Mus musculus: one gene and its partner. Each later gene encodes a partner of the first gene's protein in a complex. Links are inferred from orthologs where the notes say so. Each region holds a gene or a part of one and is shown in the gene's direction. Other genes may lie near its edges.

Region 1 (8,349 bases):
ATATTCATATACACACATTTATATAGATATGATTATATCATATACACATACATTTATATAGGTATGATTGTATTATATACCATACACTATCTACCATCCCTTGGAACTAGAGTTACAGCTGATTGTGAGCCACTCAATGTAGGTGCTGGGAACTGAAATGAGGTCCTCTATAAGCATTACAAATGTTTATTCACTGAGCTATCTTTCCAACACACACACACACCTGATACAGAATGGTTACAAAGAGTTAAAGATGTTTCAAAGAGGCCTAAGTTGCTAAAAAGCTAAAGCTAGGAAATGGAAACAAATGAAGTCTCTAAGGGGTAAAATAAAAACCCGCTGGAGATCGGTGAGCAAGCACAGCTACTGCTATTGTGCAGCCCTGAGTCCCGCTGCAGAGGCAAAGGAGCAGGGCCAGGGCCAGACAAAGCAACAGACAGATGGATAGCAGGTCTAGGGGGTGGACAGAAAAGCGGACAAAGAACAATTTGAGTAGGTCATGCCAAAAGCAGGCGCTAGAGAGGCTGAAGGCTAAGATAACCGGAAGCCACCTGGGATGTCAATAGCCCATACTCTAAAGTGTAATGTTTTTGTTTTTTGTTTTGTAGGTAAGACCCGAGCTCTTGTATAGTTTTTGAAAGTCTTTGGTATATGTGTGTGTGTGTGGGGGGGGGTGTTGTGGTATGTGTGTGTTTGTGTGGTGTGTGTGTGGTGTATGTTTGTGTGTTTCTGTGGTGTGTGTGTGTGTTTGTGGTGTGTGAGTGTGTATGCAAGAACACAAGTATACTGCCTATGGAGCTGAATCCCCTGAAACAATAGTTATAATTGATTGTGAGCCACCCAATGTGGTTCTGGGATCTGAAATCAGGCTCTCTATAAACACTGTGACTTTTATTCTTTGAGTTATATCTTTCCAACACATTTGTGGATTTTTGTTTTGTTTTGTTTTGGTTTTGGTTTTTTTAAAGCCCAGTTTGTTATCTGTTTTCTATTCTCAACGACTTTAGTATTTGGATATACTTTCATTCTAGGTGATTGAGACTATAAAGTTATCCAAAAACTAACTTTAAAAAAAAATGTTAAGGGTGGCTTGGCTGTGGCAGTGCAGTGCACCTTTAATCCCAGCGCTTGGGAAGCAGAGGTGGGTGTATCTCTGTGAGTTCCAGATGAACCTGGTCTACAAAGCGAGTTCCTGGACTGCCAAGGCCACACAGAAAAACCCTGTCTCAAAACACCTAAATAAATATAAACAATAAGTAAAGAAAGAAAAAATAATAAAATGTTAAGGCCAGTTCCAGGGCGATCGATACAATCTGTAACTTACTTTCACTCTGTCTGCTGTCCACATTCTCTGTACTGGTATTTTCTGCCAGGGACCCTTAGGATCTCTACTTTCCTCCCAGTGGCAGCCATGTTGGTGTCCCTGCCTCATTTCTGTCTAGGAGCCTCAGAGGATCTCGGCTACTCTCACTGGGCTGTAGGGACTGCTTTTATGTCTCCTACTTCAGGTCTCCAGCTGCCAGACCTCGGCGGCCCATCTTGCTCTCTAACTGTCACTTCATTTTCCTGAGTGTGTCTTCTTTCCAGGATGTAGAATTCTTTGTCTATTCCACAGGAACCAGAGACTCCTCACCCAAGACTCCTGTACCATTTGCAGGGGCTTGTCTGGGATTTGATGATCAACACACACACAGACACACACACACAGGGGTTTGAAGATCTCTCCTTAAAGTCAGTGTAACTGACTGAAAAATGGCCAGAGAGGGGTTAGAGATGCCTTGATCATCCAGTACCCTGAGCAACCTCACAAAGTGAGGGAACCTTCCCAGTCATGATTATCATGGTCTCCCTGAGTCTCCCTTTTATTGTCTACTGGGGACTAAGAAGAGTAGGGGACCTAATCTTTGTGAACCAGTGGCTTTGATCTCATGTAGATAAATGGTGAGTTGCCCCCTGTAATAGGGAGGAACCAGAGTAGGAGTTTATACCTCTGCCCCAAAGCTAAGAGACACTGCCCCCTTTCCTCAAGGTGGAGAAGCTTTACTGGAGCCCTAACATGTCTAGTCAACCCCTTGGTCTCTGTGATATTTGGGTGTCTTTTGTCATGTAGCTCTTCCCACAGACACTTGGAACACGAGGGGCAAAGGGAAGTGTGACTAAGCTATCCTCTCTTGCTTGGTCAGCTTGGGCCATTGCTTCTGTGTGATTATTCAAAAGGACTGCTCACTTCTGATTTCTTTTTTTTATTTTTATTTTTAAAAAGATATTATGTATACAGTGTTCTGCTTGCATGTACACCTCTACACTAGAAGGGGGCACCAGACCTCATTATAGATGATTGTGAGCCACCATGTGGTTGCTGGGAATTGAACTCAGGACCTCTGGAAAAGCAGCCAATGCTCTTAACCTCTGAGCCATCTCTCCAGCTCAACTGCTCATTTCTGGGCAAGAGCGCACAATTGATGCCATTTGAAGCTCAGGTGTAGTGCTGCTGAAGATAGGCAGTTAGGAACAGACTGCTTTCTGGGGTCATTTTGTGCCTTGACAAGAGGTGCAACATTTCTTCCCTATGCAAAAAGAGCACAGCACAGGACAGGCATTTCTGGCTCAGACAACTCATAACCTTTGACCAGGGTAGGGAGAGAGAGCCCCAAGACAAGAGCTGGCAGGTCTTTCCCTAGGTGCAACAAGTACTAAGTATGTAACTAACTTACTGCATGCTGGTCCCTGAGAATACTGGGCTCAAAGAGGAGTCTGGGGGTAACCACTACCCAGCATCACCAGCCCCAGCATGGCATACCTGCAGGAGGGGACCAGGAAGCTGGCAGACAAGCAAGATGTTCAAGAGGCCTCCTTAGAAGCCAGTCAGGGCCACACAGTCTCCAGCACTCAGCATGAGAAGTTTCCAGTTCTTGGCTGCAGATTTGCTGTTTAAATCAATTCACCCACGTTGTCTCTCTCCTCTTCCCAACCCCAGCCTTGCCTTTGGAACTGGGCCAATGTTCATGTAATACATTTAAAAGGTGCAGAGAAGCTGACTCTACACTTCCTACCCAACAGACCCGTATTCTTTCTAGATCAAGTCCAGTTGTGGCTGCCCAGTGGATCCCCAGGGTACCACTCAATGGGGCCCTGTATGCAGGCCTGGGTGTCTAACTCCTCCCTATCCTTGGCCCCCATTGGCAGCCTCAGCCTGCAGTGGACTGCGCCAAGCCCACACCCAGTTCTCTCTGCAGGAAGAATAAGAAGCTGTTCTGTCTACACTCCTGTTACTCGGACACTGAAGCCAGAGAGGACTCCAGCAGCAAAGGTGACCAGGAGGTGAGAAAGCCACTGACAGGACCCAAGAGAAAACCTGCTTTTTTCTTTCCTCGGAGGGTGAGGGGTGACAGGGATAGAATGGGAACTGAGCTTTAAGAATTTTTTTTTTTAAGAGACCTTTGGGGACATTTGGTGGCATTTCAGAGCTGCTGATTAGGCTGCCTTTACTGTTTCCTTGTGACTGCGGCTGACACTGACTATGCAGTGTCTGTGTTACAGCGGGGGGATTGTCTTTGGTTTTGTTTTCATTAAACCAGGGAAACCTTAGGCCATAGTTAGAACTTCAGAATGACTGCCGATGTTTTTGGAGATGGCGCACAGTGCGTCTTCTCTGAGTCCTAAGGGAAGGATTTCCTTTCCTGGAATAGGGTTACCCCAAATCTCCAACCGCAGCTCCCCTTTCTTCATGGCAACTTTTCCCGGGGTCCCTGGAGCACCCCTGTGAGCTTTTCCAGTTTTCCTATTCGAAACGCCAAGAGCTACATCTCCAGACACTGCTCAAAAAAGAAAAATCCAAAGCAGTTGAAACTTTTCAAATCATTATGAATTGGGACAGAGAGATGAAGGTTTGGGGGTGGCTCCTGACTTTCCTGTCATCCCTCCTGGGGAAGGGTGGTCTCTGTGGGGACCCCTCACCTTACAGGCAGTGCCATCCCAAGAAGCTCCAGCCCTGTGTTTCTTTATAAAGACTCATCCGTTTGTCTTAGAAGGCAGACAACAAACCAATGCTTCCTTAGTTGAAAGAATAGGGAGATTTTTGAATTTTTAATATAGTCATGAAAAAATAAATTTTTATTTATTTATTTATTTTTTGCCTATGGGATATGGTGTTTCACCATTTACTTTTAAGTCTTAGTCCTTATCCACAAAAAGATCATTTAGCTCTCCCTCCCCCAGCCGTTAGGACTTTGAGCAGTATCAGTATGACACAGAATCTCTGAAGACTTTTTTTTTAAATCAATAACTGTGCTGGGTATGAGCCAACCCTTGGGAGAGTAGAGACAAGGAGATCATTATTTAGAAGAGAATCTGGGGACAGTGAGACCCCCATCTCAATCTAAAAAGGAAAAAGGGCAGATAATTCTGTGCCTGTCCTTCCCTCCCCTCTCCTCCCTCCCCTCCCCATGGGACTAAACATATTTTCTTTCATAAAAAAAAAAGACAAACAAAAACAGTAACCGGGGCTGTTGAGATGGTTCAGTCCAGCATCCACATGGAATTACTGACTGTAATTCCAGTTCCCAGTGATCTAACACCTTCTTCTGGCCTCTGCGGGCACCAGGCATGCACGCTACAGAGACATACCTGTAGGCAAAACACCCAGACACATAGGATTTTCTTTTAGCTAAAAGACCAACAGTAACTAAAAACTCAAGTTAAGAGACTAAGAGAGAATGTTACATTTTGTCTATCTGGGTTGTTCTTCTTATATGAGGTACTTCAGGTGTCTTTGGAAAACATGAACAAACCAAAGAACCAGAGAGCCAATACAGGGCGAAAACCTTCGTTTCTTTTGGGAGATCCTTAATAAAAATGTAAAAAGCTACGAAAGTTGTATTCTAAAATGTAACATGTTCAACATGGAAATGACTTTTGAACCTTTGTTTAATTATGACAGTGCAGGTTCTGGTTTAAGGATCAGAACTCGAGGCTAGGAGCTGCCAAATGTCTCTGCCTAAGAGGCTGGTTTCTAAAATGATCCCAGAGCCACCCTTAATGGCTTAATGTTAATGAAGTTCCTCAGATAATCGAGCGGCCCTCCCTGAATCCCCGGGCTGTGGCTGTGGCATCAGGTGCCCACTGCAAAGGCTGTTTGCTTCTCTCAGGCATGCATGCCTGTTCACAAAGAAGCTGCTGTACTCTGAGGCCAGGCCAATGAAGCAAGCACAGAACTCAGGGCTGGGCCTCCGTCGCCCTGTCAGGATGCCAGGAGAACCATATGACCTTGGAGTACGTGTTTCTGCAAGGTCACTTCACTGGTAGTTTTCAAAAACTTGGTACAGGAATTTTACAGTCTTTATTTTTTATATATATATTTTTGGTTTGTCCCCCATCCCCCCCCAAAAAAACCTCACTCATATTTTATTTATACATCTTAAACTAATATATTAATTCAAATGAAAATAAGCTCTTTGTTAGGGTTTTTATTACTAAGATGAACACCATAACCAAAAAGCAAGTTGGGGAGGAAGGGCCATTCAGCTTTGGCGTCCACATCACAGATCATCATCATAGGGATTCAGGACAGGAACTCAAGCAGGGCAGGATCCCGAGGGCAGGAGCTGGTGATGCAGAGGCCATGGAGGGATGCTGCTTACTGGCTTGCTCAGCCTGCTTTCTTATAGAACCCAGGACCACCAGCCCAGGGATGGCACCACCCACAATGGGCTCAGCCCTCCCTCATCGATCACTACTGAAGAAAATGCTCTATAGCTGGATCTTATGAGGGCGTTTTTCTTAATTGAGGTTCCTGTCTCTGAGAAAGGGCTTTAGCTTGTGCCAAGCTGATATAAAACTAGCCAGAACATTCTTAATCTTGTTCCTCAGAATCTTTTGGAAGTACCTGCATTTTTCCTCCTAACCCCTGATATTATTGCTGTATGAGGAAGCTGTTACTGCATTTTAAAAATGGTTCACTGATAGTGATGTGTGTGTGTGTGTGTGTGCGTGTGTACAGGTAGATATTTACTTGTTACTAGTCATCTTAGTGTCTTTCTTAAATCCATCAGCTGATGGTATATCCTGGAGACCTCTGGGATTGGGAATAGCCACCAGGAAGACCCGGAGTCATTCCCTAATGCTTTGCATTAGCATCTTTGCTAGTTTCTCATTGGCCAAACCCAACCAGAAACCAATGGTCTTGGAAACTTCGCTCTGTAGCCTATGGGGACATAGAAGGGACAGGGTGGGCCTGGGCAAAAGAGGATGAACCCTGGTCAGCGTGGATCCCAGGATGCCTCTCCCTGGTAGGCCTCTCTACCCCTCATCTGAGCTGAGGCCTGAGAACAACGTATTAAGCTCTCCAAAGAACAGGGTAGAAAACATGAAAACGTATCCTTCCTCTGCAGCTCCCGGGATGTCCGAGCTGGAGAAGGCCATGGTTGCCCTCATTGATGTCTTCCACCAGTACTCCGGGCGAGAGGGTGACAAGCACAAGCTGAAGAAGTCAGAACTGAAGGAGCTTATCAACAACGAGCTCTCTCACTTCCTGGAGGTAAGAGACCATCTCTGAGCTGCACTAGAAATGGTCCTTATGTCTGCTCCTGTCTCTGTATCCAGACCCTGGGTTGCTTCTGGATATTAGTTTGAATGGCTAAGCCCTTGGAGTATGAGCTCAGAGGGGCTGTTTCTATCCCTTGAATCTAAGGATCCATGGGTGAGGGCAGCAGAAGAGAATTGTAAGCCACTCACAAGTGACACTTAGGATACGTCAGCACGCATCTGTAGTCCTTGTACTTCAAAGGTGGAAGCAGGAAGCCAGCCTGGGCCATCTCTTAAAACAGAACAAGGCCGGTGAGAACGCTTAGCAGGCAAACGCACCTGCCACCAAGCCTGATGAGCTGAGTTTGACTGCTGGGATCTACACGGCAAGACCAATTCCATGTGTGTACCATGGTGTGAGAGTACGTAGGCATGTACACTCACACACACACAGACACACACACAGACACTTTTTTTTCAAAGCATGAGAAGTTTCGGGGAGGGGAAGAAATCTTTTCGCTTTGTCTAGCTGTCTGGTACTTCCTACAAAGAAATATCAGAGATTAAATAAACATTTAATGATCACTCAATAATTCAATATTTGAGATACAGGGACTCACAAAGCACCCAACCTAGCATGCCCACGAGTGAATACTTGCCCGAGGGGAGGAAGGGCTCCCGAGAGCATATGACATCAGGGCCTAAATTTAGTTTGGAGTCCACTTAGGGAGTTGCAGAAGAGTTCCTGGCAAGCTGCTCGTCTTTGGGCAGTTAATATTCTGGTAGTGAAAACACTCACTTCCTTACCCACTGTCTCCTCTGCCCTTGAATCAGTTTATTAGCGTTTCTACTGCCTACAAACCAAGTGCTCCCGTGGAGGTGAACTGTGATCCAACTGCCACCCAGTGCTCCCTTGGTCCCCTAAACCAAGGCTCACAGCACGCCTTGAACGATATGGGAACGCTGGTGGCATACAATGAATGTGTCCTGTCACAGAGAGCGCCCTTGGGTCACAGAAGTAGCCAACCACACAGACAGAGGAAAACCAGTCAGCGTTGGGTCAAGTGCCAAGCCTGGGTGTGGCACAGCCATGTCACATGGTAACAGGAAACCACTCTCCAAGTTAACTGGGCATGTTGATACTGACTGACTGGATGTCTGGCTGAGGTTGTCCTTTCTCCCATGCAGGCAAATTAATTGATGTGTAGGAAGGCAGCGGGCTTGTGGGCTTCTGGAGAAAATTTCCAGTGGGACTTGGGGATTAACTCCTCAGGCACTCAGATACCGGGCGACAGGAACTCTGTATGCAGGGGCAGTTGTCGTCCCATGCCCTCTGCCTTTTGACTTAACAGAAGAGTCGGAATCTCATCTTCCAAGAGGACTATACAGGGGTGAGGTGGGCGTGTCAGGCTCTTCACATTTAGTGAAATCCCAGTTGATAACAGTTTAAGATATTTGCTACACCTATGATTTTATAACAGGAAAAAATTAGCCAGTAACGGCACATCTATAAATGATAACTCATGTACGATATCAAAGTACCGTGCATGTTTGCTGGCCTGGTTCAACAAGAGCACTGGAGAACAATCAACTTGAAGGAGGGAAGGCTTATTGACTTATTTGGTTGGTTTTTGTTTTCTAATACAGGGTTTCTCTGCATAGCCCTGGCTGTCCTAGAACTCACTCTGTAGAGCAGGCTGGCCTCGAAGTCAGAGATCCACCTGCCTCTGCCTCCTGAGTGCTGGGATTAGAGGTGTGCGCCACCACGGCCTGGCTCCTAATTTCGGTGCACAGGTGTCAGGATCCACTGTTTGGGGGGCCTTTGAG
Region 2 (7,850 bases), on another chromosome or scaffold:
TTTTCATAAGAATGGCCATGGGGAGCATAATGGGGGTCTGCAGAAGGCCTCTTTGTGCTTCCAGCCAGAACCACAGCCAAGCTAAGGACAATCACCACTGATCTAAGCTGGAGCTTCCTCCCACCCCCACCTCCACCCCCACCCAGACCAAGGTTAGACACCATCCCCAGCCCACACACCAGACCCTGCTCCCAACTCCTTGTGACTCACAGACACCTAGATATCAGGGAGTTTGGGATGCACTTACACACACCACACACCCTCCCCCACCCCAGTCCTGGGCCTGTGGACTGCAATCAAACTCCCCAAGTTTTGCCTCCCAAGTGGCCATGCCCTGAGGCAGGCAGAACGCAGACCAACAGCCTCCTGGACACTTGGACATAAAATACACACATTTAAAAGTAAATGTTATTTTTAATTCAAAATGACTGATAACATGCATATTATAAGATATACCTATAATTGATAAAAACAAAATGTTTTGTGGAAAAATATAAAGGCTTCTAAACAGTAAAGTTTAAGTATTTTTTTTCAAGAGATATTGTACGCAGGGAATGTAGCTCAGTTGATAGATTATTTGACTAGTGTGCAGAAAGCCTTGAGTTATATCCCAGCACCACGTAAAACTGGCTGTGCACACCAATAATTCTTGTAGAGGGAATTGTAGGCAAGAGCAGTTATATAATAAGTTTGAGCTAGCCTGAGCTACATGAGATCATGTTAAAAAGAACAAAAGGCTGTAGAGATGGCTCACCAGGAAAGAGTCTTTGCTGCTCTTGCAGTGGTTCAGAGATGGATTTCTGGTTATGGGTGACTTACAGTTGCCCACAACTCCAGTTCCAAGGATTAGATGCCTGCGTCTGGCCTCTGGATACCAGCACAATACAGGGGCACACACATAAGTAAAGATAAATAAGTCTTTCAAACAAACAATGGTGTTGGAAAGATGGCTCTGGTCAAGAGCACTGGCTGCATGTCTAGAGGACTGGGATTTGATTCCCAGCACCCACGTGGCAGCTCACTGCTGTATAACTTCACTTCCAGGAGAAATGACATCCTGTTCTGGCCTCTGGGCACCTGGGCACTGCATGTACAAATAAAATAGGAATGAAATGGGAAAAAATTAAGATAAGCCATTGTAATGGTTTGTTATTTGCATTTACATGTTACTTTTTAAATTGTCTTGGGGATGGAGAAATGGCTCAGGGGTTGACAGCAGTGACTGCTCTTCCAGAGTTCAATTCCCAGCAACCTCATGGTAGCTCACAGCCATCTGTAATGGGATCTGGTGCCCTCTTCTGGTGTGTCTGAAGACAGTGACAGTGTACTCATATGTATAAAATAAATTTTCAAAAATCTTTTAAAAAAATTGTCTTGTTGGCCTTCTCTTTGTGGGGTGGAGGTAGATACAGTCCTGCTATATGCCCAGGCTGACCTTAAACTCAAGATCTACTTGTCTTTTCAGTGCTAGGATCAGATGATGCTCGACTGTAATAAACAGCTGCATGTTTCTCTTCACAGTACACTTATTATACTATAAATTTTATTTTTCTTTAGGTCCGCATAGCCGCTAAATTCATCACCCATGCACCCCCAGGGGAGTTTAATGAAGTATTCAATGGTAAGTAAAGATTAATATTGAGTGAGTACTCCTTAATCACTGTCACTATCTAGCTTTCTCCCTTTTTTCTTTTTAAATTTTTATTTCATTTTTTTAGGAGAGGGGGCACCTTGTGAGCCTCAGTTCTTTGTTCTCCCACATGGGTGCTGAGAGCTGAGCTCAGGTCCTCAGGCCTAGCAGCAAGCTCCGAGGTAGCTCACCAGCTCTTCTCTTTCAAAACGTTGGTCTTCTGAGGCCCGGCTAGACTGAACTCTTGAGTGCTAGAGCACAGGCGTGCACCAACACAGCTAGCAGTGAGTGCGTACTCTTCACTGGTCGTTACCTCTTACAGCCTTTTCGAAAGAAATCGGCATTCAGAAACACTGAAATCATTTGTTTAAGGCAACTCAGCAGCTGAGTGTGAAAGTTAAGATTCAGTTCTAGGTTTAGGTCAAATACTTAGCTTTGCCTAATCCATCAATTAGGAGATTGCTCTCAGATAAGCAAAGACTTCCGATAGCTGTCTTGTGGCTCACATCTACAGTTCCAACCCTGGGACAGCCCTGAGGTGCTGAAGAAGGGAGATTGCTGCAAGCTCCAGTACAACCTGGACGAAAGGTTGTCTCAAAACTAAAAAGAAGTGAATAGAAGCCGGGCGGTGGTGGTGCACGCCTTTAATCCCAGCACTTGAGAGGCACAGGCAGGCGGATTTCTGAGTTCGAGGCCAGCCTGGTCTACAGAGTGAGTTCCAGGACAACCAGGGCTACACAGAGAAACCCTGTCTCGGGAAAAAAAAAAAGTGACTAGAGATTTAATATAGTTCATATTTTAAAGGAATGACAATAAATTGACTTTTCAAATTTATTACTTTTTTATTCTTCCTGTACCTTTTAGTTTTATCATGAAAGATAAAAGCTTCAATTTTCACTGCCTTTCCTCAAGTCCTATACAGAGGACATTTCCCAGGACTATTGTGGCTGAACTTCAGATCGTATATGAAGCTTATTAAGTTCAGATGATACACATCTTTAATACTAGTGCTTGGGAGGCAGAGGCAGGCAGATCCCTGGATTTGAGGCCAGCCTGGTCTACAGAGTTCCAGGACATCCCAGGCTACATAAAGAAACCCTGTCTCAGAAAACAAAACAAACAAATTCAGATTCACACAGAAATGGTGGCCCATGCCTGTAATCTCAGTACCCAGGAGGCTGAAGCAGGAGGATTACTCTCATTCAGACCAGCCAAGGGTATAGAATGAACCTTTGTTTAAAAAACAAAAATCAGAAAAAGCCAGTAAATTTAGTAAATCAGTCAATTTACAAACTGACCTTTACCATCCCTTCAAGACTGCCATCTCTTCCGTATACTACTTGGGGAGGTGTGGTGATCCCAGCACTTGGGTGCTGGTACAGGAGGATTACAAATTCAGGGAAACCTAGACTGCATAGTGAAACCTGGTCTCAAAACTAAAAAAAAAAAGAGATCTTGGTTTTCAGATGGTTTATCTCTGCCAGGTATGGTGGTGTATACGCATAATCCCAGCACTTGGGAGGTGGAAGCAGGAGGATGGAAAACTCAAAGCCCTGCTTGGCATGGTGGCACATGTCTTTAATCCTAGTGCTCAGGAAGCAGAAGCAGGTGGATCTCTGTGAGCTCCATCATAGCCTAGGCCAGACAGCAAGTTCCAGGACAGCCAAGAAAGAGAAACCTGAAACGAAAGAAAGGAAAAAAAAAAAGAGTTGTCTTAGCCTTAGCTACAAAGTAAGTTTGAGGCCAACTCAGAGACTCTTGTCTCAGACAAATTAAGAAAAATGTCCTAATGTAGCTCAGTTGGTAGAGGGCCTACATAGCATACACGAACCCCTAGATTTAGTCCCTGCCATGGCATAAACTGGGCATGGTGATCAAGGTCATTTGTAGCTGCTACATAAAGGAATTTCAAGCCAACCTGAGTTTGAGATCCTGTTAAGAAGGAGTGAAAGGTGAGCAGGAAAGAGAGATGAATAACTTCCTTGGGAATTTTTGTTGGGTTATTATAGCAGACAATTCTGTAGGAACCTCTGAACACTGCTGTCCATTACTCAGTGCTATGTTTAGAGTTTCCACACATAGATTATAACTGAAGATTCATCTTGCAAGCCCTGAATTTTAAAAACATATTCTAGAAATGGGCTAAAATTTCTTGAGTTTGTTCTGTACTCAGTATTCCAATGCTTTCCTCCTCAGATGTCCGGCTACTGCTTAACAATGACAATCTCCTCAGGGAAGGGGCAGCACAGTAAGTACCTCCTAAATCCACGGGTGGGTGTCAGAGAGCTCGGCCAGCCTGGGCAAGGTACTCAGTGGGTCAGCACTGCAGACCAGCGGCCCCGTTCATCCCTCTAACAGTGGGTAAGCTGGTGACAGTAACAGACAGCAATTAGTCTCTGGTTTTCTGTTACAGCTATGACCATGTATTTGAGGGAATAGACTCTTAAAAGAATGTGTTTGTTTGTTTGTTACTCCATGGTCAACAGTGTTTAGTCCATAGCCATATTAATTCATAATCATGACCCACAGGTTGAAAAATGCTGCTCTAACTCAAATGTCCTGATTTCCAGTTAGGAATGGTTACGCCAATACAGAGTTCAGATGCTTTGACTGCTTTAATTACACCCACAGACACTAAAGCTCTGTGTGTGTGTGAGAGTGTGTGTGTGTGTGTGTGTGTGTGTGTGTGTGTGTGTGTGTGTGTGTGAGAGAGAGAGAGTGTGTGTGTGTATGTGAGTGTGTGTGTATGTGTGTGTGAGTGTGTGAGAGTGTGTGTATGTATGTGTGTGTGTGAGAGAGTGTGTATGTGTGAGTGTATATGTGTGTATGTGAGTGTGTGTGTGTGAGAGAGAGTGTGTATGTGAGTGTGTGTGTGTGAGTGTATGTGTGTGTGAGTGTATGTGTGTGTGAGTGTATGTGTGTGTGAGTTTGTGTGTATGTATGTGAGTGTGTGTGTGAGTGTGTGTGTATGTATGTGAGTGTGTGTGTGTGAGAGAGTGTGTGTGTGAGTGTATATGTGTGTATGTGAGTGAGTGTGTGTGAGAGAGAGTGTGTATGTGAGTGTGTGAGAGTGTGTGTGTATATGTGTGTATGTGAGTGTGTGTGTGTGAGTGTATATGTGTGTATGTGAGTGTGTGTGTGTGTGTATGTGTTCAAAGTCTTGCAGATTTCTTAGAGAACCTACATATTAAAGAAGTTTGTTTTGTTTTTTCCTGAGTCCAATTATTTAAGTTTTTTTATGGGAATAAAAAATTCTCTTTTATCTGGGCAGTGGTGGCGCACACCTTTAATCTCAGCACTAGAGAGGCAGAGGCAGGCAGATCTCTGAGTTTGAGGCCAGCCTGGTCTACAGAGTGAGTTCTAGAACTACCAAGGTTGCACAGAGAAGCCTGGACTAGAGAAAGGGGAGAAAAAAGAGAGGAAGAAAAGTTAACTTTTATTTCTGTAATGAAATGCTCTTGACCAGACTCTTGTTGGTGCCTAGTACATGCTGTTTCAGTGATGCTCGCCATCTTTATTGCTTCCTGTATAAGCAGAAGGAGGCTTTATTGTAGCTGGGTAAAGATAATACACTAGATCGGCCTAGGATTTACTTTCTTTTTTGTATTTTGGAGCCAGTGGTTCTAACCACAGTACCATTCCCTGATAGTGCCTAGCACTTGTAGTATAGGTAGGATGTTAAATGTCACATTAAAGCGTGAGTTTCATTTTGAATGAGATGACATTGGTAAGTGAAATAGAGAATGATGTGGTAAGACTTAGGGTTTAGAATACTTACTTACCAGCTATGTGTTCTAGTAACGTTGTAAGTGGGCAGAGGCTGCAGTGAGGCAAGGCAGTGATAGTTCAGAGGAGAAGCGAGCCTGGGGAGTAAGATTCTGGTCACACTTCTCTTAGACCTGTGGGTTGGAGATAAAGTGTCAGAAAGAACAGTTAAGGATGGCTTCAAAGTGTTTGGATTAAAGTAGCTGCTAAAGTAGAGATACTATTGACTTTTTCAATTCTTTCTTTAACTAGTGCATTTGCCCAGTATAACATGGATCAGTTCACACCCGTGAAGATAGAAGGCTACGATGACCAGGTAATGACTGCCTGTTCCACGGTCTGTGCCGGGTAGTAGAGATGTAAAAGCCAGAGCAGATAGGAAATTGGCTGTTAATATATTTATGTCTTTGATTTTTAAAATAGTCTACATATTTAAAAATTCTTAGCCGGGCATGGTGGCGCATGCCTTTAATCCCAGCACTTGGGAGGCAGAGGCAGGCAGATTTCTGAGCTCGAGGCCAGCCTGGTCTACAGAGTGAGTTCCAGGACAGCCAGGACTACACAAAGAAACCCTGTCTCGAAAAACCAAAAAAAAAAAAAAAAAAAAAAATCTTCTTTCTGGTAATATTAGGTGGGTTCCCCACCACCACCAACCCATAGGAAAAAAGAGTGCCATTGACTTGACATGTAGGTTCCAGAGCAGTGCAGAGGAAGTCTAACAAAAATAGCAGAGACATTAATTTAGAATTAGCCTAAGTTACTCAAGGAATCTGCTGCTTAGGAGATAGGAACACGAAAAGGATTTCATTTAGTACATTTTTGGACCATGTAGCTGTATTACTTAAGTGCTCACAATAATACAATGGCCCTGAAAAATTTTATAAAATATGTAAAAATGAATACATGAGAATTGGTGTGCTAGTATAAATATATATACATGGATAATACATTAGCTAGAAATCAAGATATAAAGGGTATTGTTGGGAGGAAGAAAACATTGTTTTATTTTTATGAGAATAAAAATGATACGTGCTTTAAAAGTCATTGTGGAAAAGAAATTAAAAGTTAATTTTCTTAGGATATTATTTCTTTTTGCAAAACATAAGAATTGTCTTTTTTATAGAACTACTTATATTTGTAATTCTTCTCTGGAAGGTCTTAATTACAGAGCATGGTGACCTTGGTAACAGCAGATTTTTAGATCCAAGAAACCAAATTTCCTTTAAGTTTGATCATTTACGGAAAGAAGCAAGTGACCCGCAGCCAGAGGATGTGGATGGAGGCTTGAAGTCTTGGAGGGAGTCGTGTGACAGTGCTCTGAGAGCCTATGTGAAAGATCATTATTCCAACGGCTTCTGTACTGTTAAGTATCTGCCTGTCCCTCGGAGAACAGATTAAAGTTACTTTTCTTACGCTTACCTTACCCTTTTGAACCTTTGCCCCACCAGACTTTACTTCTTTTCTCTTGGTTATTGTCATCTCCTTATTTTATTCCTTAAATAATTTCTAAATTTTTGAAATTTCTTTCTTAAAGATTTGCTTTTATTGTTTTTTAATTAAGTATGAGTGGAGGGAGGGATTGCATGTAAGCCCAGGTGCCCCTGGAGGTTAGAGACATTTGTTCCCTGAACATGCACTTACAGATGTTTAAGCCGCCTGACATGGATTCCAGGGTTTAAATCCAGGGCCTCTGCTAAAGTAGTATATGCTCCTAATTACTGAGCAGTTTCTCCAGCCCTAGAAAATTTGTTTTTAAAATCTCAGTGTATAACACTTTAAAATATCCATATATTACATTTTATATTTCTCTTATTTACTCACAATAAATCACCTCTACCCATCAAAAAGTTATTAAAACCAGGTTTGATAATATACTTGTAATCTTAAAACATTTGGAAAGTAGGGGCAGGGGCATCAGGAGTTCAAGGCTGTTGTCCACTCTACAAAAGTTAGAGGGTAGCCTGGACTATGAGGCATCTACTGAGAGTGCGGAGTGGGTGGTGGGATTTATAGTTGATTGTATCATGCTTAGCTTACTGGGTTTTTAGCTTTTTGTTTTTGTTTTTTGTTTTTTGATGTTTATTTGTTTGTGGGTTTTTTTTTTTTGTTTTTGTTTTTTAAAGTAAAGACAGAACCTAGAGACTGGCACATGCTAGGCAAATATTCTGCCGCTTAGCTGTATCCCCAATTGTCATTATAGTTTGAAACAGGATCACTAAGTTGCCCAGGCTCTCCTTGAAACTTATTCTGTAGTCTAGGTTGACAATGACTCTTTAGTCTGTCTGTCTAAGAAGCCCCAAGATGCTGGGAACCCAGACTTGCACCAGGCCTGCCTGCATTTTTTTTTTAATTAAGATTTATTTATTTATTACATGTCAGTACACTGTAGCTGTCTTCAGACACTCCAGAAGAGGGAGTCAGATCTTGTTACAGATGGTTGTGAGCCACCATATGG

Evidence for each region.
Region 2: the proteins of S100b (region 1) and Capza1 are in contact, whole or in part, in an NMR structure (PDB 1MQ1), measured with the Homo sapiens proteins. The link is inferred for Mus musculus from reciprocal best matches to the Homo sapiens genes S100B and CAPZA1. Residues at the interface, in NP_006263.1 of Homo sapiens: Glu46, Glu47, Lys49, Val53, Lys56, Val57, Thr60, Phe77, Met80, Val81, Ala84, Cys85, Glu87; in NP_006126.1 of Homo sapiens: Thr265, Arg266, Ile269, Asp270, Trp271, Asn272, Lys273, Ile274, Leu275.

The regions. Positions count from the first base shown.
Region 1 is NC_000076.6:76,250,638-76,258,986, forward strand, and holds the start of S100b (protein S100-B), read left to right. Parts: upstream 1-3,198; 5' UTR 3,199-3,321; intron 3,322-6,389; 5' UTR 6,390-6,397; coding exon 6,398-6,535; intron 6,536-8,349. UniProt on the Homo sapiens protein: Small zinc- and- and calcium-binding protein that is highly expressed in astrocytes and constitutes one of the most abundant soluble proteins in brain.
Region 2 is NC_000069.6:104,838,689-104,846,538, reverse strand, and holds part of Capza1 (F-actin-capping protein subunit alpha-1), read left to right. Parts: intron 1-1,557; coding exon 1,558-1,621; intron 1,622-3,826; coding exon 3,827-3,878; intron 3,879-5,647; coding exon 5,648-5,711; intron 5,712-6,550; coding exon 6,551-6,757; intron 6,758-7,850. UniProt on the Homo sapiens protein: F-actin-capping proteins bind in a Ca(2+)-independent manner to the fast growing ends of actin filaments (barbed end) thereby blocking the exchange of subunits at these ends.